Notamacropus eugenii: one gene and its partner. The protein of the gene in region 1 purifies or fractionates together with the protein of each later gene. This does not show direct contact. Links are inferred from orthologs where the notes say so. Each region holds a gene or a part of one and is shown in the gene's direction. Other genes may lie near its edges.

Region 1 (15,633 bases):
CATTATCTATATGTGCTCAGGAACTTGGAATTTTCTTTCTTCTGAGATCTTTGGTAATTTCACTCTTTTCCCCTTTATTTTCCCTTATTACTTAGTTTTTGATTCTTTACCTCTGGTGGTGGTTTCCCTGGGGGCTAAATCTAGAGAACTGGCTGGCCCCAGCTGGATGCTGGGCTCTTTTCCCTCAAGTTTAATGGATTGCCACACATCCCTTCCCACACATGAGTCCTACCTTGTTTCCTCTGTTCCTCAGTTCTCTGGTTCAGTGGCACAGAATGCTGCTGTCATAGCCTCAGCAAATTTGTGCTATTTGAAATCTGGATCTCCTAGTATTGTGAGGAGGATAGGATGGGGTAGAACTATGGGGTAGAGCTCTATTAATGCCGGGACACGTGTCCTGTTCCAATTCCCTCTGTTCCTTAGCTCTCTGGCAGAGCTCTGTTGCAGCACAGGAGGTTTCCTCGTGGCTACTGTAGCCTGAGCAAGTTTCTGTGTTATGTAGTTGATATGTCCTTGGCACTGGAAAGAGGGAGAAGATGTTGGGATGTAGAGTTTAATCTATTGCAGCCATTAGGTCTGCTTGTCCAGCCTAGAGACTGGGAGCATGGTGGGTGGTGGGTGGTGGGTGGTTCTGGGGGTTGCTGAGTGAGTTCTTACAAGGGGTTAGTGAATATTGACCTTCTCTGCAGTTAGTTTATTAAGTTTTTACCTTGTTTGGATTCTTGCTGTCCTAGACCATGGAGACAGCTGACATTGCTTTATGGTTGATATATTTTTCCTATTTTGGAGAGGTCTGAGAAAGAGAGGATCAGAAAAAATGCCTAGTTTGCCATCTTGTTAGTCATGTGACCCAGAAATCCCTATGAACAAGTATATCCACCCCTGCTAGAACTATTTCTTTGTTTTAAATCGGTGGTTCTTAAGCTGGGGTCTGTCAATAGTTTGATAACTGTATTTAAAATATAATTGGTTTCCTTTATAATGCTATGTATTTAATGTTATGCATTTAATAACATTATTCTGAGAAGGGGTCCATAGATTTTCCAAGGGGTCCAGGACATAAAAAAATTTAAGAATAATCCTCACTTTAAATTATTTCTGCTAGTTTGATGAGTGTAAGTTGTTTTAATTTGCATCTCTTACTATTAGTGAATTATATTATTACCATCAAGAATATTATAAGTGATCATCAAGTGATTTTTAAAAATCATTTTTATTTTCTCTTTTGACAATTGTCTGTTTGCTGATCTTGTACCTTTCATTGTGTTGACTAGGGGGAGAATTTTTAACCAACACAAATGATAAAAGTGATAGCAAAAGATAAAATAGATAAAATAAAATCAATATAACTAGGTTAACAATGAAAGCTGTCCTGGGGCGAAGGGCTAGGGAAAGAACCTTTCCTTGAGGGGTCTCTGATAAGATAGGAAAGGAACACAAATGTATAATATTAAGGTCGTTTCCCAGTGGATAAGTGGTCAGAAGGTAGGAACAAACAATTTTTCAAAAAGTTTCAAACTATTAATAACCTTATGAAAATTGCTTTATATAACCAATAATATTAAAAATGCAAGTCATCCAGAGGACTCAGTACTAGGACTATTTCCTAAATTTTATTGAATGGGACATGTCTGGGGAGAAAACCCTGTGGAAAGTTTATCTGAACAAAATTGTTCATTGGTGATTCCTTTGAAATCATTAAATACTAATAACCTATGTATCTAACTATTGGGAAATTGCTTAATAAACTGTAGTGGATCTGTCTGCCTCAAGTCTCTCCCCACTCCAATTCATTCTCCATTCAGTCACAAAAGTGATTTTCCTAAAGTATAGGTCTGACCATGTCACCGCCCTACTCAATAAATTCTAGTGGCTTAATATAAAGAAAAAAAAGAAATGCAAGTCATAACAACTTTGAGGGTTCACTTTAAACCCAGAAAATTGGTAAAGATGAAAAAGGATGGAGATGATCAGTTTTGAAGGGGCCACAGAAGTCAGGCAGACAAACCCACCACTGTAGAACTGTGGATTGGTCTAACCATTCTGGAAAGCAATTTTTAGCAAATGAAATTAAATAATTAATTAATTTTAAATTTTCAACATTTACTTCCATAAGATTTTGAGTTCCAAATTTTCTCCCAATCTCTCCCCTCCCCCCACCCCATGATGGCATGTAACTTGATATAGACTTTATATACACATTCATACTGAACCTATTTTTACGTTAGTCATGTTGTCAAGAAGAATTAGAACCAAAGGGAGAAACCATGAGAAAAAAGAAACAAACAAACAAAAGAGACAGCAAATAATATGCTTCAATATGAATTCAGACTCCATAGTTTTTTTATTTTTTTTTTTTCTGGATGTGGACATCATTTTCCATCACGAGTCTTTTGGAGTTTTCTTGGATCCTCGCATAGCTAAGAACAGATAAATCTTTCAAAGTTGGTCATCAGGTTATGTGGCTGTTATTGTGTACAGTGTTGTCCTGGTTCTGCTCATGTCACTCAGCATCAACTCATTCAAGTCTTTCCAGGTTTTTCTGAAGTCTGCCTGCTCATCATTTCTTATATCACAATAGTATTCCATTACATTCATATACTATAACTTGTTTAGCCATTCCCCAACGGATGGGCATCCCTTCAATTTCCAATTCTTTGTCACCACAAAAAGAGCTGCTATAAATATTTTTGTACATATAGGTCCTTTTCCCATTTTTATGATCTCTTTGGGATACAGACCTAGAAGTGGTGTTGCTGGATCAAAGGATTTTTATAGTCCTTTGAGCATAGTTCCAAATTGCTCTCCAGAATGGTTGGATCAGTTCACAACTCCACCAACAATGCATTAGTATGGAAAGCAATTTTTAATTACACAAGTAAGTAAAGAAAGTGTCCATATCCTTTGACCCAGATGTCTCACTGCTAGGGATATACCCCAAAGAGGTCATATACACTGAAATACGTATAGAGGCATTTTTTGTGATAGCAAAGAATTGTAAACAAAGTAGATGCTCATCAGTTGGAGATTAGCTAAATAAATTATGGCACACAAATGTGTGGAATATTATTGTTCTGTAAATACAATTAATATAGACAATACAATGAGAGGAATAGGAAGACTCCTATGAAATGGTACAAAGTCAAGTAAGTAGAAACATAAGAAACATAACACACCAGAATTCTCAGAGTGTAAACTGAAAGAACAGTTGCCACAACCAAAACATCAAAACTGAATGTGTCAGAATTACAATGAGCAAGGTTGATCTCAAAGAAGATGTATGAGAATATATCTCCCTCTCTTCTTCGTAGAGGACATGATATTCCTGCATCAAAAAAGGTGCTATACTCTATGAACTAAGCACAATGGCAACAGATAAGAAAAATGAAATGGGAGACATCTCTACTCTAGACATTCATGTGAACTATTTCTGCCCAACTTTTTGATGGAGTCCTAGTTCAATCTCCTATATATATATATATATATATTTGGTAACATGGTACAGTGCCAATGGGGTATTCGCAGCACCTACCAAGGCCACGAATATCCCAGTATAATTCTCAATTGTGAAATACAACAGACTCTCCACATGGAAGGCAGAATCAAAACATTGATTCAGACATCAGAAAGTCCAATCCACCACAATTACAAAAATCTATAACAATGGAGAGGACAACACCCTCCTCAAGCCTTCCCCCAGCTAGGCTTCCCACAAAACAACTCCATGAAACAAATCACAAACAATCACAAAATCACTCACATTAGCGCATCCTTCCTAGCTCTGATCACTTTCAAGACTAACTTCTTCTCGGTTCTGCTCTAGCTCTGCCTCTTCCTGCTTCACCCTTCCTGTTCTACCCATTCAGCAAACTCTTTCTACCACAGATTCCATGTGACTTTGACTAATGACCCATGCAGGTCGCATGGGCCAATTAATGAATGAGAAAGACCTCCTTGTTTCAAATGACTATCACATATGTTTAATATACAAAAATATTTTCCATGATTATACATATTTGTGAGAGGTGTTGTCTTTCTTGGGTAGCTAGGTGGTACAGTGGATAGAGTGCCCATCCTGGAGTCAGGAGGGCCTGAGTTCAAATTTGACCTCAGATACTTTGTGTGTGCGTGAGACCCTGGACAAGTCACTTAACTCTGTTAACCTTAGTTCTTCATCTGTAAAATGAACTGGAGAAGGAAATGGCAATCCACTCCAGTATCTTTGCCAAGAAAACCCCAAATGAAGAGTTGGATATGACATTAACTAATCAACAATTGTCTTTCTTGCCTTCTTAATATGGAGGGGGAGAATTTGGAACTGAAAAAAAAAAGTCTCACTGCTTTAAAAAATATTTAAAAAAGAGTAACCTGCATCTCAGTTCTGAGACCCTACTGTCTCTAATTCAGTGGAATTTAGAGGGTACGCCTATTGATGAAAATATGGCTTGAGTTCTCATTTCAGTACAAACTCATTATTCAAATTGTATGGGAAGTACAAATCAAAGAGCAAAGTACTAAATACAGTATATCAAGATAATTACAAAGGAAAAAACTGGACAATATAATCATTCCCATTCCTACAACTCCTTCCTTGTACATAAAATGGCACAACCTCTTAGAGCCTCATGGGTCAATGAAATGTAGTCAACCCTCAGAGAAATGAGGAAACTCATCAAGACAGGGGTGGGGTGGTTACTGTCAGCAGACTGAGATATTCTGTACCCTCTTGGATTTAGGAATTTGCCTCAACTCTGGTATCAGATCTCCTCATTTTACCTCCAATACAATCTCTGGAGCCTAAATTTGTTAAGTATGAGCTGCAACACCAGGAGTCCCTACTCAGCAAGTCATATCCATCGTATCCATTGTATCCTTTGAGCAGTTTGCTCTTCTGCCTGCCATCTTCAGCATGCTTTCTTTGGATGGAAAGAAAGCAATGTTGCCATTATCATATCTCTTTCTTTTAACTCTTTTCTTTAACAAAGCCCCTGGGGAGCAATTCCTATATCCATGTAGAAGATTGGTATAATTCTCAAGCCCTGGAATTTTCTCCCAGAGAGCAATAGCTTCCTTGCCTTTGTCAATTTGTCAGTCAGTCAATTAGCATTTATTAAGCTACTGTGTATCAAGTACTGTGATAAGTTCTGGGGACATAAAGACAAAAAATAGTCTCCATAGAATTCAGATATTATGGGTAATGATCACCATGCCCCTATTACAGAAGCAACTCCCCTTCCCCTAGAAAAGCATATCTCAAATTTTCTACAGAAAGTGAATGGGAAATTGGGTTCAATATAAAAAAGAGATAAGAAATGACAATATATATTTCGTAAAGTAAGGTACAACTATATTCAAAACTATTTTTAAAAATCTAGAGTTATGATATTACATTTCAGTAAACTGATTACCTTTCCCCTTGATATAGTTCACTCCTATATTCTGCCAACCTTGCTTTTATGAAACCAGAAATTACTGGTTCATAGACAATCATATATGGGGCTGTGAAGGACCTTGGTATTAAATCTAAACTCGGCATTTTACAGATGAAGAAACTGATGTCCAGAAAGGGACAGTTACTTGCTTAAGATCACAAAGATAGTAGCAGAGTTTACCCAGATAATAAGAGCTAGTATTTGAATATAAGTACTCTCTTTAAATTCAGTGTTCTCACTGATCCATATTGGCTCTTGTACTTTTTACAATATTACATTGATGTATAGGATACTCTCAGTTCAATAAACACTTATTAAGTGCCTATCATGCGCAAAGTACTAACATATCATTCTTTCATGTTACTAGGGAAGCATTTAGAGTATTATTGCTATAATGTGCCATGCATGGTCCACAAAGATGACCCTTTTGCCCCATCATCAAGAAGGTATCCACTTAGAGTGTAGATGGTTCAGCTCAATCATCTGATCTCCCTTGTGACCATAGTTGGCTAGGGTCAGAAGAGTAGTATGTGGTCATGGAGCACAGAGAAGTCACCCCTAGAGGAGGTAACTGATTTTTATAGAGGGGGTCATATCTATGGCCTTGGCTTCTTTAACACAGAGCTAATCAACTGTAGTTGCTATAACTTGAAGTGATAATACTTAACCAATATTTTCCATTTCTCTCTTGTAAGGGTAAAGTTCAGTTTACATCAGCTGTTTAATTCTGGCTATGTCATGTGATAAAATGCTACACTAGTCAGTTTATAGAGTAAATATTAATGGTTAGCTGATGTGAACTAAAATTTCACTTTGGAAAGGAAAAAATAACCACTCCAATTTATTTCATGTTATTATTTCAATTCTGTAATTTAAAGAAAATTCAGTTGAATTCATGTTCAGAACCCTGAGTGGTATGCAGTGTGTGTGTGTGTGTGTGTGTGTATGTATTCTAGTTCAGAGCACAGCAAGGCTCAAATCTCACGTCACAATGAATCTCTTAGGGCAGATCTATTCTTTTTTTTTTTTTCTGTTGCCACACTGTATTGTTTGATGCATTTATCTACCCTTAATTTATAAGCCTACTATGTCATAATAATTTCCAGGAGCTAGAGTTAAAGAACTTAATAAAAGAAAAGTAAGACAGTCCTCTACCAGGAGATAAGAAATGCAAATGAAGACAATTTGTAGAGAAAAGTTCAGAGAACAAGATGAGGCAGCAAATAGGTACTTAAAAAGCGAGGACTTTGAGTCTAAATTTCCTCAATTGTAATCTGACGGTACATGTTGTATGATTATTGTTATGTTTTGGGCATTAGGCTGCCTAGGAGACCCAAGATCAAAGGTTTATCCTGGTATGAGTCTGGTACTTTTCTATTATATGATCATATAGAGAACCTCTAATCCTGACTTTACAATGATTTCTGTTTAATAGTAAACTAGACCTGGAATTCCAATCCACGGTGTTGACGTCTTTTTACCAGTCTTCTCAGACAATTTAGCCACATCCTTGTTTCCCCCTAAATTTCCTTACTTCATCCTCTAGTGAGTCAGTTATTTAGTCAAGGTATTTGGCAAAGTTTAGAGGTATTGCCTTTCACTAACACTTTCCCTACTACCAGCACTTGTCCTAGGTGCTGTTAGGGAGATACAAAACAAAACAAAACAAACCATAAAGACAATGCAGCAACCTTGGCTTTGGAGCCAGCAACCAATTTACACCTGTGGCTCTGTCCTTAACAACTGTGGGACCTGAGTTTTCTTTTAAACTGTTTCCTTAAATATAGAAGGAGGAGGTGAAAGATAAACTAGATCATCTCCATTCTACCTCTAAAATTCTGTTCTTTTAGAGCTGTATCCCAAAGAGATCATTAAAAATGGGAAAAAGGTCCCATATGTACACAAATATTTATAGCAGCTCTTTTTGTGGTGGCCAAGAACTGGAAATTGAAGGGATGCCCATCCATTGGGGAATGGCTGAACAAGTTGTGGTATATGAATGCAATGGAATACTATTGTGCTACAAGAAATGATGACTTCAGAAAATCCTGGAAAGACCTATATGAAGTGATGCTGAGTGAAAGGAGCAGAACCTGGAGCACATTGTTCACAGAAACAGCCACAGTGTGCTCCAACTGATTTTGATAGACTTAGCCCTTCTCAGAAATGCAAGGACCTAAAACAATTCCAAAGGACTCATGATAGAAAATGCCATCCACATCCAGAGAAAGAACTATAGACGGGGAACACAGAATGAAGCAGACTATTTTATTTTATTATTTTTTGGTTTTGTTTTTCTTATTCGGGGTCTCTCCCATTCTTTATAATTCTATGCAACATGACTAACGTGAAAATGCGTTTAGCAGGAATAGATGTGTAGAGCCATATCATATTGCATGCTGCCTTAGGGAGGAAAGAGGGAGAACATTTAAAACTTTTGGAAGTGAATGTTGAAAAGTAAAAAAAAAAAAGTTAAAAATAAAATAAAATTTTGTTCCTTTCTTCCCCCTTGCTCGTACTGACCTAGTCTTTGTTGATCTGGCAGTCCCAGGTTTGTCTTCTGCCTGAAATATACACTTCCCTATCACCAAGTCTCCTCCTTTCCTGCTGTTAAAGGATCTTTTTTACCTTCAAAATACCGAGAAATTTTGGCCTTCTTCTCTGATCACACAATTCACAGGCATCTTTCTATTAGAATGTAAATACTAAATAGTAATTGTTTCTCTTTTACCCAGACACCCTGAGGGTCCTCTCCCAGTTATATAAGAGGTCCTCCCTTGAGTAATTACTTAAAGAAGCCTTTTCATCGAATGGGTGTCTCCCAGTGCATCCTGATGAATGTCTGGTCCCGGCACCCAGATGGCTCAGGAGGGGAAAGTGAGGCTGGTGACCTTGCGCAGCCCTCCCGCATTCAAATCAAGGTCAAGTGCAGGTCATGTCCTCATCCTGAGGTCATGGTCCTCATTGAGAAGGAAGGACAACCAACCAACCACAGCAGCTTTCCCGTTTGCGCACGCGCACACACACGTTAGCCCCGGATGTTGGATGAGAGCTCATCTCCTCCACTATCCTCTCCTATTTTAGAGATGAAGTCACCTAGGCCAACAACAGTTAAGGGAACCAGCCCAAGGTCACGGTAGCTTTTGCTTTGGCCTTGAGGCACATGTGGCCCTCTAGGTGCTCAAGAGGGGGAGCCTTGGACCAGAACGAATCCTCTTAATACGAGAATGTATTATGTAAAGCTCGGACTCAGACGGCAGCACCCCAAAGCCTCCGTTATGATCCGCATTTTCCCCTCGTGCCATCCAGATTGCTGTACGTTTCAGGGGCAGGCCCAACAGCCCGCCCGCCCGGGGCCTCTCCTGCCGAGGGTCGGACGGAGCCCCGGGGATTCGGGGCACTCCGCTCCGAGGCAGTTCTCGGTGGAGCGGGGTCAGGGGGCCCGAGCGGGGCTCCTCTCGCCGAGCTCGGGACGCCAGGGTTCCTTTGGCCTCGGGCACCGAGCGCTCCGAGCTTCCGGGTGCCGCCGTGTTCCCTAACCACAACAGCGCTACCATCGTCGCTCTTATTACGGTTGGCACTGGAAGAAAAAGAACCGCGCGATGGCGGTGCGAACGGAGCGAGGGGAGGAGGAAAGGGCAACCTTCACACCTGCCCCCCCGCCCCCTCCCCGGCGTGTGGGAAGCTTTTGGCCAGAAAGGAGAATTTTGAATAGCGACCGCAAGAAGTAAACCGTTTGGTTTTTTTTCCTTGGGGAAGTGAGGGGGTCAAGTAGTGGGAATCGAGAAGACTGAGCGCCGATGACGGGCGGCGGAAGCGGGGAAAGCGCGCGCCTCGGTCACGTGGACTCGCGCTTTCTCCCTCCCTCCTCCTGCCCCCCACCCTTCCGACCGCATGGCGGCAGCCCACGAGCCCACGGGCCTCCCTCCCAAGGAGGGAGGGGAAGGAGAGCAGGGGGAGGGCGCGCCTGACGGAACGGCGCTGGCGCATGCGCGCGCAGGGGAGGGGCGGTCGGCGCGCGGCCGCCTCTGCCCGGCGGTGAGGGAGTCTATGGAGAGGCGGCGGCGGCGGCGGCGGCGGAGATGGCTCCCTTCCCCGAAGAGGTGGACGTGTTCACCGCCCCGCACTGGCGGATGAAGCAGCTGGTGGGGCTCTACTGCGACAAGGTAAAGGCGGGAGGAGGCTGGGGGGCGGGCGGCCTGCGCGGAGCCCGGAGCCCCCGCGAATTAGTGCCTGCGCAGCGCGGCTGTCACCGCCTCTGCCTCGGCGGGGATGCCCCGGCCGCCGCGGCCCTCCGGAGGCCCGAGAGCCCGGGGCCGAGGTAGGCCTCCCCGGCGGCGCCCGGGCCCCGGGGCGCTCGGCTCCCTGGGGGCTCGGGACTTGGTGGGCGGATAGGGGGTGACCCCCTCACCCCTTCTTTCCTTACCTCCTCTTCCCCCACTCGCCCCCCTCGTCTTACTCCCCTCCTCAGTCGCGGCTCCTAGCTCCCCTCCCCTTTCTCCCATCGCGCCCCTCCCCCTCGCAGCCCCTTTCCCTATTTCCCTCATCTCTCCCCTTCTCCCCCGCCCCCACTGATACCCACGCGCCCCCCGCATTTCAGTGCCTTCCTCCTCTTATCCCTGCCCCGATGCCCAGTTCACCGTGTTTGATCCCATCTCCTTCCTTAAATTTTAATATTTATTTGCACGGGACGGGATAAAGGCTGGTGTGGTTCCCTGGGCACCTCCGGCGGCGGACTGGGGTTTGCAGCCGAGGAGCTCTGCCCCGGAGGAGTTGGGAGGAAGAGCCCCGGGCTTGGGAGGGGGAGACCTGCTTGGGTTTAGTAGCCCTTCCCCTCGGGTGGTCTCGGGCAGGCTACGGGAGCTTCGGTGCCTCAGTTTCCTCATCTGCAAAATGAAGGAAATGAACTCGATTATCCATAGGCTCCTCTCCCAGCCCTGATACTCTGTTTTATAAATTCTCGGATTTCTGGGCCACGGATTTCATCATTTTGAGATTGCCGAGATCCTTTCCCATTTTAGCACAAGATTCAGAATTACTGTTTTGAAGTCAGCCAAGAGCTTGCCTTTCTGCAATGCGCTGTCTAAAAATAAGTAAATTAAGAATAATTTAAAAATCTGTACTTCCCGTGTGTTTGAATCGACTATATGTGGTAATGGGGGGAAGATGAGGCATAGATTTAACTCAGATAACATAATCTGTAGGGCATGTAACTTAGGTACCAGTTTATTGCCTTTAAAAATTGATGTTTTAGCGAGTACTTAACCTGATAAACGGAAGAGGTGGTAATAGCTTTTGTGCGTTATGTGGGTAATCAGTAGTCATAAAGTTTGCCTGGAGGACATTACAATTATTGTTCATCAAAAACCTCATTGATGGATCCTATCAAGTTGTTTATGGTAATGTCCAAACACTTACCAAGGAACAACACTTTACATTTTTAAATTTGGACTTTTTGTCTTTCTAAAAATTTTTATTTACCTACCGTTTAGAGATGCTGGCTCCTGGCGTAAATGAAGGGTGACCTATAAATCAGAGGATCTTGTTTTGAATTCCCTTTTGCTTACTAGCTGTGTGACCTTAGGCGAGTCATGGTAAACTCAGTGTCTTCATCTATAAAGTGAAATTGTTTGGATTAGATGACCTCTTAAGTTCACTTCCAGCTCTAAATTCAACAGTGTTATGAAATGGCCAAAGATAGAAAAAGCCTGAGAAGGAAAAGCACGTGACCTGAACAGGAGACAAAACTGGATGTTATAGAACAGAATAAATAATCCGTTGTTTAGTAGTAACTTTTTAAAAACAAACTCACATTCTGTGACCTCTACCGCACTATTGTGGTTACAGATGAAGAAAAAATGTTCAATTTCTCTGCCTTTAAAGACCAAATGCTAGTTGATAGGAGAATCTGGATTAATGGCACCTAATGAGACATACCCTTTGGGTTGTTTGGTGGCTAATCTGTCTCTTTTTTTCAATGAATTAGAAATTAAGAAAATTCTGGAGTATGTGAAATGATTTGAAAATTGAGAAAGAAATTTACAGACTATTCCTGTAAATATTTTAGGTTACATGTTCTTGCAATGTTTACCCATTAGTTTGTTTAGGAAAAGGTTTTTTTTTAGACAATGTCAAAATGAACTTCATTCTAGCAACTATATGTGATAGCAAGTTTTGATGGAGTATATTCCAAACGAATGATTTTATTTATGCAAACAGTAAAGATGAAGTGATCCTCATTGTGTGAACCATAGACTACTCAACAAATGATAAGTGCCTACTATGTGCCAGGCATCATACATGCTAAGCCTTGGGGATACCTGGAAAGGCTGTCCCCCTTTTCCCTCAACTCGCTAATCCCTCCGTCTCTGAATGCCTGGGAATTGTAAATTTGCATGTGAAAATACTGAACCTTTTAGTTCTTGGGAAAGGATTAGGCTCCACTGTGATAACTTTTGGGGTCCTCTTGGGCTTGTATTGGTACAGCCTCTGAAAATGAAGTGAGAAACTTATCCAGCTCAGTGTTTCAGGCATTAGATGGAAAAATAGTTATCCTTATTTTTGATAACATCTTAAATTCTGAGGCACCATCTTAATTACATTGACCACTTGTGCCCAGCCAAACTATCTACCGATGCTTTTTTTTACATTAAAACTTTGAAATTTAATACACTTTTATGAGGAAACTTAACTCCCCCGATGCAGATGGGCACCTGCTCAGATGCTTAGGGTTTTCTGGGGCACTGAAGGTTCACTGACTTATTCAGGGTTTACACAGCCAGTATGTGTCACAGCTAGAACTTGAACTCAGGTCTTCCTGACTTTGAGACTTGGACCTTTCCATCCACCTTATCATGCTACTTCTCATTATACGCATTTTAAAGAAAAGGCTACAAAGTACAATGTTTTATTTAAATTCTTACTTATTTGGTGGGCACAGAGATCGATTACTAAGTAGCTATAAAGAATCAATTCATAATTCACATTTAGCTTTGGAACTAGCATTTTAGAAATAGATGGATGTACAAATAATTTTAAACTGTTAAGCAAAGTGGGCAGCTTGCTGACATAATGAATAGAGCACCAGACTGTGGAGACAGGCAGGTCTGTGTTCAAATGTGGCCTCAGATACCTAGTAGCTGTTAGACTCCAAACAAGTCATTTAACCTTTGTCAGCCTTAGCTTTCTTATCTGTAAAATGGGGATAATAAGAGCAACAATCTCCCAGGGTGTTTGAGGAGGAAAGGTAATAATTGTAAAGTGCCTGGCACAGAGTAAATGCTTCATAAATGTTAGCTGTTAAGTGTCAGGCAATATTCTTCAGCTGGATTTTGGTAGTGTCGGTGACATTTCCCAACATTTCCCAGTTTAAACTTTTGTGAAGCACTTTCACACTTGTTAAACCAACAATAACTGACGTAGATAGGGTAGTTTATTTCAGTTTTGCAGGTGAGAAAGTAAATACTGAGTAGCTTGCCCAAGGTCATACAGGCAATTAGCAAAGAGTCACAGCAAGAATCTAGGTCTCCTAAATCTATACTGTGTCTATTACTTGAAGTAGTTAAGCTTCATTTCTTTAATATGTGAATACTTCAAGAATTTCATCAGTGTGTATATCCCTTTCCACTGTCATAGATTACAACTTTGCTATACATTGTTCAAGTCTCTTGAGTTTTTGTGACTGAAAAAATTGATCACCTGGTGACAGTCTAATTATGATGATCCTATCTGAACTTAGCCTGGTCTTTGGACAACTGACTGATGTAGTCTGTCACTGGGCCTGTAAATTGAAGCCTTTCTCTTTTGGTAGGACCTTTCTGAACTTGAGTTCTACAGAACACAGGATTACCATCATGCCATTATGATGCATTGAAGTAGGACTTTAAGGGACACATTTTTTCCACTAGGTAGTTAAGACTTTTCACTAGTTCTCACCTTTTCCTCAATTCATATGAGTTGGTGCGGTTTTATAGTCTATTTGGTATCCTAGTACATTCTTCTTATTCTAATCTTTTTCTATTCAGGGATCCACTTCATTGGAAAAAAGTAGGGGGAAAGGGAAATAAGATGATCATGGTTTTATTTAAGATAAAAAGGATATTTTACAGGCTACCAGAATGTTTCTAAAATACATATATTTGTCTATGTGATACGTTAGATTCATACATGAATATAAATTTCTCTGTCAGATAACAAACATTAAATGTCTACTAAACACTGCTGGTTATTCTGGTGATAGAAAAATAGCTATAACCAGGGAACTTACTCTAAAGGATTTTACATTTATTTAATTGGAAGGAGTGAAGATATATATACATATATATGTATATATAGTTAACTTTAATACAAAGAACAATATAAATACAAAAGAAATATTTAGGTAAAGTTCTTAGAGATATTTGAATATCTAGTAGATATGATATAGGTTCTTAAGACCCTGTCCTAAGGCAGTGTTTCTTTGGTTAGGTCTTTAACTGACAGACAATTGCAAAAACATTTTCCCCCTATAATCTGTTTCTTTTAACTTTAGAGGTATTTCTTTTTGTGCAAAATCTTTTTTAACATAGTCAAACCCATTCAAAATTTCAAATTATTTTTCCATTTGCTTAATAAAATGTTGATTGTCTTCTTATTTGAGACATTTTTTCTTCTGGTTTTTAAAAATGGCAAATTATTACATTATTAATCTAGTTAGTGTTTATTATATAGTGCGGGGTGTGTGCCTAAAGCTCATTTTTCATCTTATACCAGCTTATTTTATGTCATACTTTCACATTCCGTATTAGTTTTACTGAAAGTTCATTTTAGTCATAGATTTTATCATGTGCTAACCTACGAATCCTATTTCTGGGTTCTCTTAACTGTTGTATTTATTTTTTTTCCATACCATACAATCTTGTAATTGTTACTTTAATTATGGAAATCTGGTAGGACAAGTCTTTTTCTGTCTCATTTAAATTTTTATATTCTTGCCTGCTAGAATTTTGTCATGACTTAACTATAAAGTAAACTTTTATATTGTGATTGGTATTTTAAGTCCGCAAATTGTTTTGCAGTTTATTTGTTTTACCTAACCAAGCAAAAGAGAGCCCTTTATATGTTTAGTTCCTTGATTTCTTTCAAAATAATTTTGAAGTTGTCTTGAGAAGTCAGTGCCCAGATATTTGATACTTTTGTTATTGTATAAAAGATAAGTCTATTTCTTGATTCTTGTTCATTGTTATTTTTGTGAGTTTATCTGACATCTTGCTCTTTTACTGAAAACATTTATCATCTCAGTTCCTCTCGTTTTTCTCCACACTCTTCTCCTTAGAGAATCTCATCTGTTCCCATGTGTTCAGTTATCAGCTCTATACAAATAACTCCCAATTCTTTATATGTAACTGTTCTCCTCTGAACTGTAGTTCTGCATCTCCAGTTGTTTGCAGGACATAGATGTCTTGATATGTCTACCAGGCCTCTCAAAAATCAAATACCTGAGACTGAATTCTTACTTGGTATTTATCATCCTTAAGCCTTCCACTCTTCCTACTTCTTTTGATTGTGTTGTCATCTTCATAGTTAAATATGCTTGAAACCTCAGCATTATCTTTGAATCTCTTCAGTCTCTTGACCTTGATGTTACAGTTACCTGCTGATTGTACTTCATAATATTTCTTACATCTGTCTAGACTCCATTAACACTGTCACCACACCTTATCACCCCTTGTCTGGACTATGCTATCTGCCTCCTTACCAATCTTTCTAATTCAAGTCTCTCCCCTTTCTGGTCTTTCTTTAGTATAGCTGCCAAAATAATCTTCCTAATGCACAGGTCTTACATTTCTTTCTTGCTTGACAACTGTAATTGGCTTTCTACTGCTTATGGGATAAAATATAATTTCATTGGCCTGGCATTTAAGGACCTGTGCAATTTGAGTTTGACCTGGGTTTTGTATACCTTTTTAGATGTGCTTTTGAATTATACATTCATGCATTCTTTATTTTTTTTGTGAACAGTATTTTTTTCAATTATATATAAAGATAGTTTCATACATTCATTTTTATAAGATTTTGAGTTCCATATTTTTCTCCCTACCTCACTTCCCTCCCCAAGGCAGCAAGCAATTTGATGTAGGTTATACATGTGCCATCTTGAAGACATATTTCCACATAAGTTAGGTTGTGGAAGAAGAAACAGAACAAAAGGGAAAAAGCCACA
Region 2 (14,850 bases), on another chromosome or scaffold:
CAACCCTACCTAAAGAACTGTTATTTGCCATGCAAAGACAATTACTATCCTCTGGGACTAGAGGGTAACAAAGGCTAAAGATGCAACACTGGAGGGGATTATAATATGGCAGGAGGTACAGGAAACCTTCAGGGAAACTCAAACTGTAGGGTTTGGGGCAGGGAGAGGGGTCTGTGTGTATGTCTAAAGACCTGGAGCAATGACCTAGCTATGGAAAAGGTGGAGCCCCAAACGGAGATTTTCATTTCAATCACCTGGGTATTTCGGGTTAAAAAAAAAGACCTTAATTATGTAGATAATTGCCCCCTACTCTCCATTTATACTGGGTCTATTGCTACATTTATACCTTCTTTCTCTATAAAGAGAAAAACAATTGATCCAGCACAAGTACTTTCCTAACATAAATCTGTATTTCATCAATTCCCTTAAGAAATCAGGAGCAAATGCAGAGTCCCTCAAGTGGCCACTGACAAGTCCCTGAGTTCCTGGCATTTGGAAGCTTCCAGCCTAGCCCATTAACTTGAGGACACCAAGGTGTTTGTTTACCTTCTATTTATGTTGCTCCTAGGAACCCAAACCAGGGCTAGATCTACAACAGGGTAGAACTGTTCTTAATGGACCATGGAGCACTTCCCTGGGCAGGAGATGGGAGCCTCAGGTTCCCTCCCCCGCTGGGCGATTTGTTTTGTTTTGGGGATGGTTTTTTGTGGGGGGGGAGGGGGGAGTAGTGGTGATGGTGGTAGAAGCCCTGGGTGAGGCTGCAAGGGAGGAGGTGGCATGAGGACAGCTATGAACCAGGGCTTTGGAATCTCCTGCATTCATTAGATCTCTATGGAGCAATCACCTGCTTACTTGTGGAAGCCTTAGCCAGGCTGGACTTGCAGTCAGAAACACTGGAGTTCAAATCTTGGGATACCTAGTTCTGTATCTTTAAGCAACTCACTTAACTATTCTTTGCCCCAGTTTCTTCACTTTTAAAATGGGGATAATAATAGCACTCACAAATGAGATAACAAAGTAAAGCACTTTGCTGACCTGCTGCTGCTGTCTGTCCTTCCTTCTCTAAGAGGCCCACGACATCAGGGAGGTTGATGCCATGACATGCAAGTGAAGTGGATTTCAGTGAGGGAGGGCTGTGCAGCCACCAATCTGTGTCCTCTGGAGTCATCTGGCCAGATATGATCAGGACAACTGGAAAGGGCCCAGGATGCACTGGGGGACTTTGGCCTTTTCAAGCTAGTAAGGTAAAGTAAGGTAAGGGTGAAGAGAAAAGAAAGAGGAAAAAGTAAAGGAAAGCAAGCCATATTGTCCACCTGTGATGTAAATGCTTAGTATTCTTATCAAAAAGACAACTGTGCCAAAATTGATAAGCTCCTCTATTGTCTTATTCTTACCAAACCTAAGTTAAAAGCCTCAAAATATTTTCTAAGAACCATTCCAATATTTAAAAAAAAGGAAAGAAACATTTTATTCTACGGTTACTCTCCCTTACCCCAAATCCTGCACCTGTGCCTCCTTCAGTTACTAAGCTAGGAAATCTAGATTGATACTTCCATCAGAAAAGTACTTCCCTAAATAAGAAAACGAAAGATGTTCTCTTTAATACAAGGTGTGAGGAGGTAGTGTCTTGGCTCAAAGCAGAGATCTGCACCCGGATTTCAGTGTCTGTCAATTAGCCAAGTTTCCTCTGCCTCGGCTTTAGTTACCTGACAATGCTGCTCAGCCTTTTCCTCTCTGGAGATCACTTTATAAGGCTGGCATCAGGTCTAAAGTAAAAGTGGTGCACCTGTGTCTTAGCTCTGAAGGACTGGGGAACTCCATGGTGGCCAGCACACAGTAGGCAAATGCTATTTTCCCTACATGGGTCATTGTTCCTAAGATGCCCAATACAGGGAATTCAGATGGGGTCCCGGATGATCAATAAAAGGTAAGTTCTCCTGAAACGTGCAAACACTCCCCTGCAGGCACTGCTTAACTCCAGAAGAAGGGGAAGCACTTTGCCACACATGGCCCCAGGACATATGCCAGGGAACTTACAGGTCACTGTCAACGGTAGGTCATACACTCCACTTGTCAGCTTTTTTCTCACTCTTATTTTCTATGTTTACCTATCTCTGAGCCAGGTCATATCATTCCTACATCTTTCAGAGAGCAAATGAGATTTTTAAAAAATCAGCCTTTGAACTATAATAACATGGCATAATAGCCTTTAGCATTCATTCAGGTGGTGGTAATCAATCCCACTTCACTACACACCAAGCTGGAGATACAAAGATAGCCCTGACTTTCCAAAATGTGACCAAGAACCCAGAAGCCTGTCTGACCCACCCAAGTCCAGACACTTGAGCTCATGAACTTAACTTCTGTTGCAGACTCTTTGAGCCCCTCCTTTTAGACAAAATTCTAACACAATTCTAGTTTCTTAGCCCAAAGAATGAGGCAATCTGGGGGATTTGACATAAGGGCAAATATACTCAAGACTATTACATAAACATGAACTTGCTTCAGTGAGAAAAGGTTAAATGACACAGCATGGGGGAGGGGCTTAAAGAGAGGGGAAAAAATTCATTTTAGTAAGATTTTCATTAAAATGATTTTTAAAAAAAGTTTAGATACTTCCACAGTTAAATATCTGTTCCCCTCTGCCCCCCAAATGCCAAATAAATGAGAGACTACTCCTCCACCTCACATTTGTACAGGGTTTATAATTTTTCCAAAAGCATTTACACTACAAGATTAGCTTAGTTTTATCCCCACAACATCTTTTTGAAGTCCAATGGTCACATACTTAATGAAAGTGTAAGGCTGGGGGGAGAGGGTTTGGTTTAAGGGTTAAGTGTCTTTTCTAAGGCATATCTGGAACTAGAATCAAGATCTCAATCCAAGATCTTTTTGTCATTTCATGAACATATTTTGCATATGAGGTGTTCCCAGTTTCTATCCCAGTTCTAGGAACTAGGCAGGGTGCAGGTACAATTTTATTCTCATTTTAAAGTTTTGCAAAAAGAAAATCTTAAGTCCCAGGATTTAGGAGCGAAAAGGCCTCTGAGGCTGCCAACATAAAAAACCAAGGAGCAAAGAGGGAAATTACTTGCCCAGATTCCAGCTAATCAGTGGAAGAGCTTGAATCTTACCTCAGGCCCTCGCTGCAAAGACTGCTCTTTCAAAATGGGATTCTAAACCTTGCATGACAAGTGAAGGGAGAAAAAGGCCAGAGGCTAAATCTGCACCCCCCTATCCACCCAAACCCCAGCCCCTTTGCCCCATTATCTGTGCTTCTGGATTCCCCCCACAAACAAGTCACAGCTGGCAGTTTAGCAGAGATAAGAGCCCAAGCAATCACCATTCTGAATAGGGGGAAATGTGAGATACTGACAAGAGGCCTCCCCGCCCCCGCATTCTAACCAGGATTTCCTATTTTAAGAACTCCCCAAAGCAAAGGGTCAACAGAAGGGCTTCTCGTTGCACCAAGTGCAAACCTTAAGTTACTGCTTTCCTTCTAAGCTGCTGAATGGCATAGTCCCATAAATAAAAGTGCCACAGGAAGGCTAACAGAGAACAGAAAACTAAGGGTCATCTCATTACTCATCAACAGTCACAGCCATATGTGTAGAATTATCTTCTTTTATAACAAACATGCTGGGCAGGGCCTATTGATCCTCACACATTGGGCCCAAGGAAGTACAAGTCTGGAAGAGAATTATAGGATAATCCCCAAAGCAAATACATATCTCCAATTCCATCAGTCTCAAGTGTTTAAGGTTCAGCTCTGCTACATATAGGAGGCAATCAGGAAAATTAATTACCTTCCTATCAGTCACCTAAGTTTTTAACAAGTGGGGGCACACCATTTAATTACCTCATTGACATGGACATAAATTTGTCTAAGGATAGCAGGGGTCAGTCAAAAGTAATTTTTGTTGCATGGAAGGACATCATACAGTGGAATGAAAGGGAGGGTGCTTATGGAATTGTTCTCATGAAGAACTCTATCCATCTCAAGGATGAGTGGCAAAGAAAGGTCATGGGGAAGGGAGGGACTAGGGGAGCTCTTTGAAATGTGGGGGAACAGGTCACAATTTAAACTGTGTCACAGAGTGAGGCTTCAGATATGTTACTGGAATGACAAGTATTTACCATGATTTCAGACCTTCGCCCAAAAAAAAAAAAAAAAGACCATCTCCTCCACACATACCCCTTTTACCATGTTGCAAACATTGTCCCCTTTGTGACCTTCCCCTAAGAACCTACTGTACCAGCTCAGGCTAGTTAGATAAATTATATTACACTTGTGTACATCCTGTGTCTCCATCTCAATACCCAAGCCCTGTTCCCCACCCCACGCCCCACAAAAAGGGAAGTTTCCTGATGGCAAGAACCATTGCATTGCTGTCTTTCTATCTTCCAGCATCTAGGGAGCAGACAGTGCGTGCTTAATAAGTATTTGCCTTAGTAAAGCTACTTGTGAAGTATAGAAGCTGTCTGGATAGGAGAAGTATTTGTGTTACATCCTAAGTCTCAGTTTTTCCTTTTCCACAAAATAAAGGGGTCAAACTAGATGGCCTCCAAGATCCCTTTAAGCTTGAAATATAAGTTCTCCTAAAGCCAATGCCTGCCCTCAAACAGGTTGTCAATTGGCCGAAACTTCACATGAACAAGATACTAAAACTAAACACCAGATCGATAGTACAGGGAATAAATGCATAAAAGGTTCAGAACAGGAAGGGGAAGATCACTTCTAACTTGGGAAGATGGAAAATCCAGGAATGCTTCACATGGATTATGGATGGGCAGAACATGGTGGAGGTGGGCTAAAGGCACAAGACTGGGGGAGAGGAGGGACAGTTACAGAGCAGGAGACAGGCAAAGGAGGCCTGTACAGCCTGGGTACCACATTACAGAACGTGGACTTGATCCTGCTGGCAATGGTCAGCTGCTGAAGGGCTGTGAGCAGCACTTGGACAAGATCCAGTGGTACCGAAGAATGTGACTGGAGAGTGTGCAGGATGGTTTGGGAAATCCAAGGGGTTTAAGAAGCTGAATCCTGAAAATGGGAAGCTATTTTGGTACCAAGGTAAAAATGGTCTGGACAACTTGGGTGACCGTGGGACTGCCCACATTTAGGGGCAAAGTGGAGCCAGGAAAAGGAAGAAAGGTCAGACAAAATGAACACAACTCGGTGGAAGGGATGAGTTTTCCAAGAGAGGCTGGTCAACATCAAATGCTGTTGAGAGTAAGGGGCTGAAGACTGAGAAAATAAGGAATGTGGTGTTCAGACCGTTGGAAGCCCCCAAGTGTGCACGGTGGAGAGGAAAACCTACCCTTTTAGTTTTAAAACTGAAGTCTTTCTCAAACCGTTCCATAAAAACACATTTCTGGAAAAAAGGTGCCCCTGAAATCAGGTTCGGTGACCCACCTTTGGTATCAGAAAACTCTCGTTACAAAACCGGCTGCGAAACCCCCTTTTACACAAAGAAAAACTGGCAACTGTGAGACCTGCTTTCTACACGGAGCTCTAGGAGGAACGTGAACAAGGGCGTCATCCTCTCGGGCCTCAGTTTCCTCGTCAGGAAAATGGGCAGGAGGATCTCGCAGAATTTGATCCTGTGATTTCTGGAAGGTCCCCGAGGCACTCTCAGGGACCAGGCGCCCAAGACCCGACCTCTTCCCGGCGCAGGCACCGAAGCCGGGGAGTTTGGTTAAAAAAATAAGGAGTTCAAGACTTCCTGAGTCCGGCCGGGGCTCCCCAGGACTAGCAGCTTCCTAGACGGCTCCGGCCGGGCCCCGGCAGCCCGCTTCGGCCCCTGCGCCGAGGAGCCGAGTCGCCCGAGCCGCCGCCCTCCACGCCCGGTCCGCGCCGCAGCAGTCCCGAACGTTTCCTGGCCCGGCCCGGCGGCCTCCGCCACTTTCCAGTCGGGCAGAGCCGGGCTCGGAGCTCGCTCGGGGCTGCCCGGACCGGCCACCGCCTCCTCCCCCCACCTCCCCGGCTCCCCGTCCCGCAGGGCGCTTCCTCCTCCCGAGCCCAGCCCGGGCAGGGACCGGAGCCACGGCGGGGGGCAGAGGCGGGCAAGCCGGCGCCCGCGGTCCTCACCTGCTCGCTTGCGGGGGTGTCCCGACGCTGACGGCCTGTCTCCGCGCTGTCTCCCCACGCAGTTGCCCATGGCCGCGGCTCAGCCCGGCCCCATGCACGGGCGGCGGCGAGCGGGCAGCCCCTCCGATGCCCCGAGCGGGTCCCGGGCCACTCCGGACTCAACTGCTCCTGCCGTTCTGCATCAGTCGTTGTCCCCTCGCTCTCCGGGGCACGCTCAGCCCCCGCCGCCGGCTCCGCCACAAACTTTGCGGGAGAGCGGGCGGGAGGGCGGCTCCCTCAGCGCTCAAGAGCCCGCCCCAGGTGGTCGGGCCAGGGGGGCTGGGGCCGGGAGCGGCCAGGAGAAGAGGCCGGAGAGAGAGAGGAGGGGCGGGCACCGCGGCCAAGGCCACTCAGACCTAGCTCCGCGATCTCCTCGGAGTCCGTCCCCGGACACTGTCACTCACCTGCAAAGCCCCGCCCCGGCCGGGCCCCGCCCGGCTCTGGCTCCGCCCCCGACCCAGGTGAGCATGTGACCGTCGGCCCCGCCCCGCTGCCCGGGCCCAGCTCTCTCATTGGGTTCCCCCGAGGGGGGCGTCCCAGCCGGGCCCCACCCAGTCAGGTATCCGCCCGGTCTCCCCGAAAGTCTGCTTCGTTAGTCGTCTAGGGTGGTGTGCCGTCCTACCTACTCTACGAACCAGCTGAGTCCCCGGGCAGCTGACCCTTCCCCTCCGACACGGGGCCTTTTTCTCTCTCTCCCCGGGACGGTCCGGCCGGGAAGGGGGCAAACACGTGACCTAGGCAACCCTCCCTCTCCCGCTTTCTCGCCACGTGATTGGTCGGAGTGCGCATGCGCGAAGCTGCCCCGGCGCTGCCGTGGGGCTGTCTCCTCCATCTCTTACCCCTCCTCCTCTTCCCAATTTCCGATCATGGCCGCGGCCTCTGAGGAGGCGCTGGCCCCGGCGGGCGCCCTGGGTGGCCTCGTCCAGGACTTTGTGGTCGGGCAGCAGGACGGCCCGGCGGCCGAGGTGGCGGCAGGTACATCCGCGCTGCAAGCTGCGGGGAGGGAGCAGCCGCCGCCCCTGGCGCCGGCGGGCAGGGAAGGAGGCGACGGTTGGGGTGGGCCTGGGGACGGAAGCCGACTAGGGCCGAGCCGTCGGGACGGGAAAAGGGGCCACGACGGAGCAGTGCCGGGGCGGAGGAGGAGAAGGAGGTGTGGGCTCGGGAGATCCGGCGCGTGGCGTGGCGTGGGCAGGCGGGAGCAGGGAGCCACGTGGGCTCCGGAAGCTGGCTCGGGCCTTGGGTGCATGATGGAGAGGAAGAAGGGTGGTGGAAGGCGACACTAGTTCTGGGGGTCCCCGAGGGCCTCCCCGGCCCTGCCTGGGCGCTTCCCGTGGGCCCCCCTCCCTGTATCGCGCTCTTCCGCGGGGCTTTCAACCCTCCCGAAACTTTGTCTTGTCTCGTCCACGCACGTTTGCGTTCGGATTCTTGGATAGGAGGCTGAGGCAGGGCTCCTTTAGACAGAAATCTTCCTAGAGAGTTAGGCAGGGTTACAGGGCCCCCCGATCCCGTGCTAAATAGTAAATAACGTAATTTATTAATAACGAGCTTGTGGAGGGGAGGAGGTTGTCCACTAAGAGTTTTGGGTTTGACAGTTTTACCAGTCTGTAAAAAACAGCCTAACTTTCTGGAAGAAGTAGACTCCTTGGTGGAAGGGGACTGTGTCATTTTGGGGTTTAAAAGAAAACAACCCAGTACTTTGCACAGTGCCTGGCCCTCAGCATCGATTAGGCTCTTCTGTAGTATTGCCTGGCTCGTCATTGATTAGGAAAGCTGTGATCACTTCGGAGGGGGAGGCCTTAAAAGAGAGGATGTACCATTTGCTTATTTGTGACCCCTCAAATTTATGAATACTGAAAACCAGGTGTTTGACTTTTAGAGACAGAGGAACAGTGTTTGAGAAGAAATTTGGATAGGGACCAGATCATAAAATAAAATTGATAAAGGTAAATTTGGTGTACCTTGAATGATAGTGCATAGCTTTCACATTTTAATAAAACCCGTTAAATTACTAAACCCCTAAAAGTTATCCTTTTTAGCTAAACTCTGTCCAGCTAGCCCAATTGTGATTGTCCACTGCTCTAGGTACCACGTTTAACACTGTCTCTTTGTTCTAAACAAAGTTCCCTTCGTTAAATTAATCCTGGGTGGCCCTTGTCTTTAGTGTCTTTGGCAGGCTGGCTTTGTATACAGTGCTCTACATTTACTGTCTCCTTCTGGGCTTTATTCAACTGTATCACTTATCTCTGACCTTATACTATTCATTTAAACCCCTCTGAGTTTCAGTTCCCGTATATATAAAATGGGGATAATACCTCAATGTTCTAGTGAACAACTTGCTTTGAAAACTTGGGTGCTATATAAATGTAAGCTGTTATTATAATCTGTAGATATCTACTTGTTCTTTCTCCTAAATTCCTTGCACAAGTTATGAGGTGGGGTCACTATCCATGAGCTTAATCTTTTGGGGGGATATTATAAGTAAGCCAGTTAAAGAATAATATAAGAATATAATACTTATCAGGGCTGCTAGGTGGCGCAGTGGATATACTGTGTTGCACCTGAAGTCAGAAAGACTCATCTTCATTGAGTTCAAATCTGACCTTAGACACTTAATAGCTGTGTAATGCTGGGCAAGTCACTTAACCCTGTTTGCCTCAGTTACTTCATCTGTAAAATGAGCTGAAAAGTAAATGGCAAACCACTCCAATATCTGTGCCAAGAGAACCCAAAATGTCACTCACAGAGAGTCGGACGGACACAACAGAAGTGACTGGACTCAATAATTGCATTAAATTGTGAGGTTATGACAGTAAAGTTTTAGAGAAGGGGCAAAATCAACTTGGGCTTACAGACTTTTCCAGTTTAGCCACTGCACGTGATTGTGGCAGTCTGACTTGAGCCCATCCTAGTAAAATGAATGGGATTTCAGTAGTCCCAGGTGAATGAATGAAAAAGGTTTTGATAAGTTTTTACTAGCACTCTGCTAAATGCTGGAGTATATTACAAAGGTTACGATTGCTCCTGCCTTCTGGGAACTTACCTTTTTGTTTGGGAGACTGCATCCTAGAGCTGAGGATATTTCTAAGTTAGGTGAATGAACAAAAGCTTAGAGGTGATAGAGTGTAGACATTAACCTGACCTAACTCTAGAGTTGCTTTTGGTTGGGGTGAGTAGTTTAAGATAAAATTCTGTTACAATAGGGCTGGATTGTGAGGAGGAGGTCTTAAATGTATTTAGACTTTAGAAGTCTATACGAAAAGCTACCAATAAGCAAATCTCCTGACTTTTATGCTACTCCTGGTGAAGGAGGGGATGAGAATGAATACATTTTACTGAACTGGGGATGCAAAAGGCAAATAATAGTCCCTGCTTTGCAGGAGTTCACAGTCTACTGGAGAGTACACCATGTAAATAACTGAATGTAAGCAAGATCTACACCGGATAAGTTGGAGAAAATCCCAGAGGGAGGGGGAAAAGGACACAACTTGGAATTTAAATCCTGATTTTTTTATATGACCATGAGAATGTAAGCTCCTCGAGGGCAGGAACTTTTCTTTCTGTCTTTATATCCCTAGTACATTAATTGTATTGTGGTTGTTTGTGGGGGTTTTGGGCGATTTTTAATAACCCACAGCTTTTTCATTATCTTTTTAATGTTATAGAAACAAATCTTCACTAGAGTTTGAGTGAAAAAAGGTTGAGAGCTATCCTACACACCACCTCCAAATTAATCTTTTTAAAAATCTTGTTTTCATCATCTTGTGTTTGAATCTTCAGTGGTTTCCCATTGCATATAAAATAAATTTAATATAACAAATATTAGATGCTTATTGTGCTGGACACTGGTGATTCAGAAGCAAAAACAAAATGCTACTTTCAAGCAGTTTATGTTCTACTTAGGGGAGAGGAATATAACACACGTAGGTAAGTGCATTCAAAAATATTTCAAGAAAGAGCATTACAACACTAGCAACTGAAGGGGAGAGATCAGGGGAGACTTCCTGTGGGCTATGGGATATGAGCTGTGCTTTGTAGAAAGGTAGGAATTTTAATAGGCTCAGGTGAGACAGGAGGACCTTTCAGACGTGGGGGACCACTTTGCAAAGGCAGACAGGCAAGAGATGAAATGTAAGGTATAGCTAACAGTCCACTCATTTGGTTAGGATAGTATGGCATTCAAAGGCCCTCCATAGTCTGGTCCCATGTTATCTTTCTTCTTTCTCTTCCCTGAATGAGCTCTTTATTCTATCCAAACTTGTCTACTAACCATTCCCCAAGCATCTATTGGGCTTTCTGGCTTGTGTGCCTTGGCTTGTGTTATTTCTTCTACCATCTCTATCTTAGAAGATCTTACCCCATTCTTAAAGAGCCAGGTCATGGAAGTATTTGCCCTTCTATCTCCTCTCCCCCAGTTATCTTAGTCATAATGATTTTCTCCTTTCTCTGATGTCTCAAAACCATTTGTGTTCTGGACCACTCATGGGATTTATTCATCACCTTGTTTTCAGTTTATTGCTGTGCCTTATCTCTTCATATCCAGTCAGAAGCTCCTGGAAGGCAGGCATCAGTCAGGTTTTATAAGTCTTTGTATCCACATAGAGGGCAGCAGAAAACTTTGCACATCGATGTTCACAGAAAGGAAGGATTCTTACAAGGAAGAATCAGCAAATCTCCAAGACTCCTCAGTCATCCAACACAACTTTCATGTCATCCTCAGCTCCTTACTCTCACTCACATATCCTTTCAACTGCCAAAATGCTGCCATTTTTATCTTCATTTAATCCCCTTCTTTTCATTCACACAGCCACTACCCTACTTCATTCAGGTTCTCATCACCTCACCTGGACAATTGCAATAGCCCTCTTTTCTCACTCCCTTCCTCCTTCCTTCCCTCCTTTCCTTCTTCTCTTCCTTCCTCTCTCCCATGGGTCCATTCCCACCACAAGTCATTGACCTGCTCCATTTTTGATGTAAGTTGGTTCATCTACTGCAAATAGCTTGTTGGTTATCATCTGTTTTTCCCCTTCCTCTTCCTTTCCCCTCCCCCTCACAATATTGGTGCAGGCACTCAACCACTGTAGCTCAGAACTCCTAAACTCAAGCCATACCCCAGCCTCAGCCTTCCTATGTCAAGGAGATTATAGGTGAGAGCCACCACGACTAACTAGATCAGCCTTATAACTGTTCTCCCTATATCCAGTCCATGCCCCTCAGATGCCCAAGTGATATTTCTGAAGCAGTCTGACCATGTCCCTCCTTAATGATTCCAGGGCTCATTTCACACCAGGATCAGATAGAAGCTCCTCCATTTAGTATTCAGTGCTCTCCATAACATGGTCAGTTTCTACCTTTTCCAGTCTTGTTATGCTTGATTCACTTGTACACACTGTACAGTCCAAGGCAGCTGGCTCTTGCATGGCCCAACATCTCTGTCTTCTTGCATTTGCACTGGCCGTTGCCAGGTGTGAAATGCTCTCCTTCATCACTTCCATCTCTGAGGATTCCTGGCTTCATTCAGAGGCTCGGGTTCAATCACCACCTTCTGCAGGTCTTTCGTGGTTTCCTCAGCTGCCTTTCTCACTGAGATTACCTCTTCAAAGTACTTAGTTATTTACATATTGTCTCCCTCCATTAGAAAGTAAACTCTTTGAGGGCAGAAACTATTTTGACCTTTGGGGTGGGGGTGGGGGGTTCTTAGCACTTAGCACTGTACCTAGCACACAGAAAGAATTCAATAAAATTCTTGTTTACTGGCTGCCAGAGGGAGAGGCAGGAGCCACATGACTGAAAGATTTTAGCCTGGAAGGCAAGGAGAATTATAAGAAGTGAGGAAGTTGGAAAATGGAACTGGTTTGCAGATTAGAAATATAAAGAGCTTGATTTGGGGCTTGTTCAGTTTGATAATGCCCTTTTTTTTTTTCCTGATAAACTTGATTTGCTGCCATTTTAGTTTTCAGTAAGAAAACTATTAGCACTGTATTCATTTTCTTCTTGAGATTTCTTTGAGAGGACATACTATTCCTGAAAAAGAAAAAAAAGGTTGAATTAAGCAATAATAAAACAACAAGTTTTGCCCTGAGTCTCAGAGATGCTTGTAGCATCTTAAGCAGGAAAGGCAGTCCAAGATTGTGGGTGGGACCAAGCCAGAGTTGCTTGCTATTCGGTGAATTCTAGAGAGGTTACAGCTCAGTTCAGACAGAAGTCTGATTGTGCATTCTGTGTCTGTGCTCACATAAACACTGCTTTGACCCACCATCTCAGTGCCCCACTTCGGATCCCTGTGCCTTGCTACAGAGAAGTGGGATTAATAGGCAGGAATGGCCTATATTTTAAAGGGACAGTTCTGCATATGTCATGAGTCCAAGAAGGTACCAATTCATAGCTTCCTTCCTAACTTCAGGAGCCATCATTATGCCAGCCATCTTCTACTAAGCTTGGAAGGCTTAGTAGACTTCACATAGTAGACTTTGTCTTCCACTAGTATCTTTTGGTTTAAGAGCCCAAATGTTTCATTAACAAAAACTTAGATGTTTATAGAAGAGGGTGTTATTCCTCAGTTTGTATATAGATGAAGAGAACTGAAGCCTTGAAAGAGACAGTGCTGAGTCCAGCCATGAGTTCAGTGTCAGCATTGTCTCCAAAGCCAGGATTCTTGACTTTCAGGACTCTCAGACTTTTTTAACAGCTTCTTTGTGAATCTGTAGAATTGGACAAAGTTGTTGGAAGTTTAATTCTGTTTTCTCTTGAAATAATAAGATTTTAAAATAATATATTTGGAAACATTTTCTAACTTTACTGATCTGCTGCTTTCGTTCTTACCTAGGACCGTCATGGCTGGTCAGCCAAAAACAAGCATTCGTTATATATCTGGCCCTGTGCAGAGGCCATGGACATAGAAATACTAACAATGAGTAAGGCCTGAACTCATGAAGCTGACTTTCTTTTAGGGGTATGTCTATGAAACAGGAAGGCCTTACTAATGGGAGTTAAACACTGGCATTCAGGAAGACCATACTACTATCATATTTCTGAATACATATAGTCCACATTCAACGGGGATGGCATGTTGGAAGCTGGAAAAACATTTTTTATTCACAAAATTGTAGAGGCACCTGAGTCCCATTAGGCTGTCTCTTCCCCTTTGATTTTTGGAATTGTGTGAGGTTTTTCCAAAAGATAAATTCCAAATTCTCTCCCTTTCTCCCCTCCCCTCCCTTGAAACAGTAAGGAATCTGAGGTAGGTTATACATGTGCAGTCATGCAAAACATTTCCACATTTACAACATAGTCGTGTTGTAAAAGAAAACATAGACCAAAAAATGAAATTAAAAGCAATGTGCTTTGATCTGCATTCAGATTTGTCTCATTCTGACTCTGGAGGTGGACAGCATTTTTTATCATGAGTCCTTTGGAATTGTTTTGGATCATTGTATTCACAGATGGTCATTGTACGCAATCTTGCTGTTCTCCTGATATCATTTTACTTCAATTTGTATAAGTCTTTTAGGTTTTTCTAAAAGTACCCTGTTTGTCATTTCTTACAACACAATAGAATTTTATCAAAATCATATGCCACAACTTGTTTAGCCATTCCCCAGTTGATGGACTTCAAATTCTTTGCCACCATAAAAAAAGCTGCTATAAATACTTTTGTATAAGTAGTGCCTTTTACCTTTTTTTTAAATCTCTTTGGGATACAGACCTAGTAGTGATTGCTGGATCGAAGGGTTTACACAATTTTACATTGATTCATTTAGCAGGAAACTGAAGCAAAGAGATTTTAGGTGACTTTAGTAGTCACAGAGCTGCCTTGTCAGAGGCAGTAAGTGAAGCCACATCTTTCATGACTCTAGGTCCAGGATTCTTACCACTGTACCACGAAGTTTCTCTCAGGATGAATCCTAGTCCTATATTCACAGGAGGGTGACAGGGCTTGGGGCTGAATCAGATCAGTGATGTCGATATCTACCAATTGGTGTTGGTCCCCAAGCTTTCCTGTGAATAGCTGTTAATAGGAAGTTCTTCTCAGGCAGCTGTTAGAATCAATTCGTGAATGTGTGCCTTAGCAGTTTGCTAGGCTCTCTTTTCTGCTGGATAAGGACTGGAACAAAACTAGCTCCAATTCGCTTCCAAACCCCATTTCCTTTATGATGTAAAATGTAGAAATAAACATTTCTCCCCACTTATTGCTTGAGGAGATGAGGGTAGGCTTTACCTATGACTTCATTAGTTTGTCAGTACTGTTAGCTATACTAATGCTTTCTTCTGTCAATTTACCTTTCCCCCATTCTGCATCTTGCTCATTTTTTCCCTTTGGTTAGCAGGGGCAGCAGCTGGCTTGTCCACATCCTGGCACATGAAGGAGTGTGAGTGCCCGATGACTGAATTGGTGCCAGTCACGAGCTATGAATCTCAACTAGGGAATCTCTTTTTCCTCTGCCTCCTTGAACCTTACCCCATTCTACAGCCAGAGCAAGTCACATCTTAGATTAGAAACTGAATTCTGATGCTCTGAGACCTGAGGCCAGACAGGGACTCCTGTTTACAAGTCGCTATCCAAGAGAAACTGCTCCTTATTCTTTGAGGACTTTCTGTCCACCATCTCCAAACTTTTATTTCTCTCACCTTACCCAGTTTGACCATGCTGCTCAAAAATTGACTTGATTGTCTGTAGGAACAGATGAATTTGGGATCCAAAAATGTTTCTGGAACTAGAATGT

What was found.
Region 2: the proteins of FBXL5 (region 1) and MMS19 purify together in Homo sapiens (affinity purification with mass spectrometry; 4 studies listed by BioGRID and IntAct, counting the BioPlex papers as one, with this or other methods). This does not show direct contact. The link is inferred for Notamacropus eugenii from reciprocal best matches to the Homo sapiens genes FBXL5 and MMS19.

The regions. Positions count from the first base shown.
Region 1 is NC_092877.1:68,185,841-68,201,473, reverse strand, and holds the start of FBXL5 (F-box/LRR-repeat protein 5), read left to right. Parts: upstream 1-9,410; 5' UTR 9,411-9,514; coding exon 9,515-9,598; intron 9,599-15,633.
Region 2 is NC_092872.1:214,289,421-214,304,270, reverse strand, and holds the start of MMS19 (MMS19 nucleotide excision repair protein homolog), read left to right. Parts: upstream 1-6,768; 5' UTR 6,769-6,996; coding exon 6,997-7,105; intron 7,106-14,850. Other genes in the region: UBTD1 (ubiquitin domain-containing protein 1), read right to left, coding at 1,036-1,168. UniProt on the Homo sapiens protein: Key component of the cytosolic iron-sulfur protein assembly (CIA) complex, a multiprotein complex that mediates the incorporation of iron-sulfur cluster into apoproteins specifically involved in DNA metabolism and genomic integrity.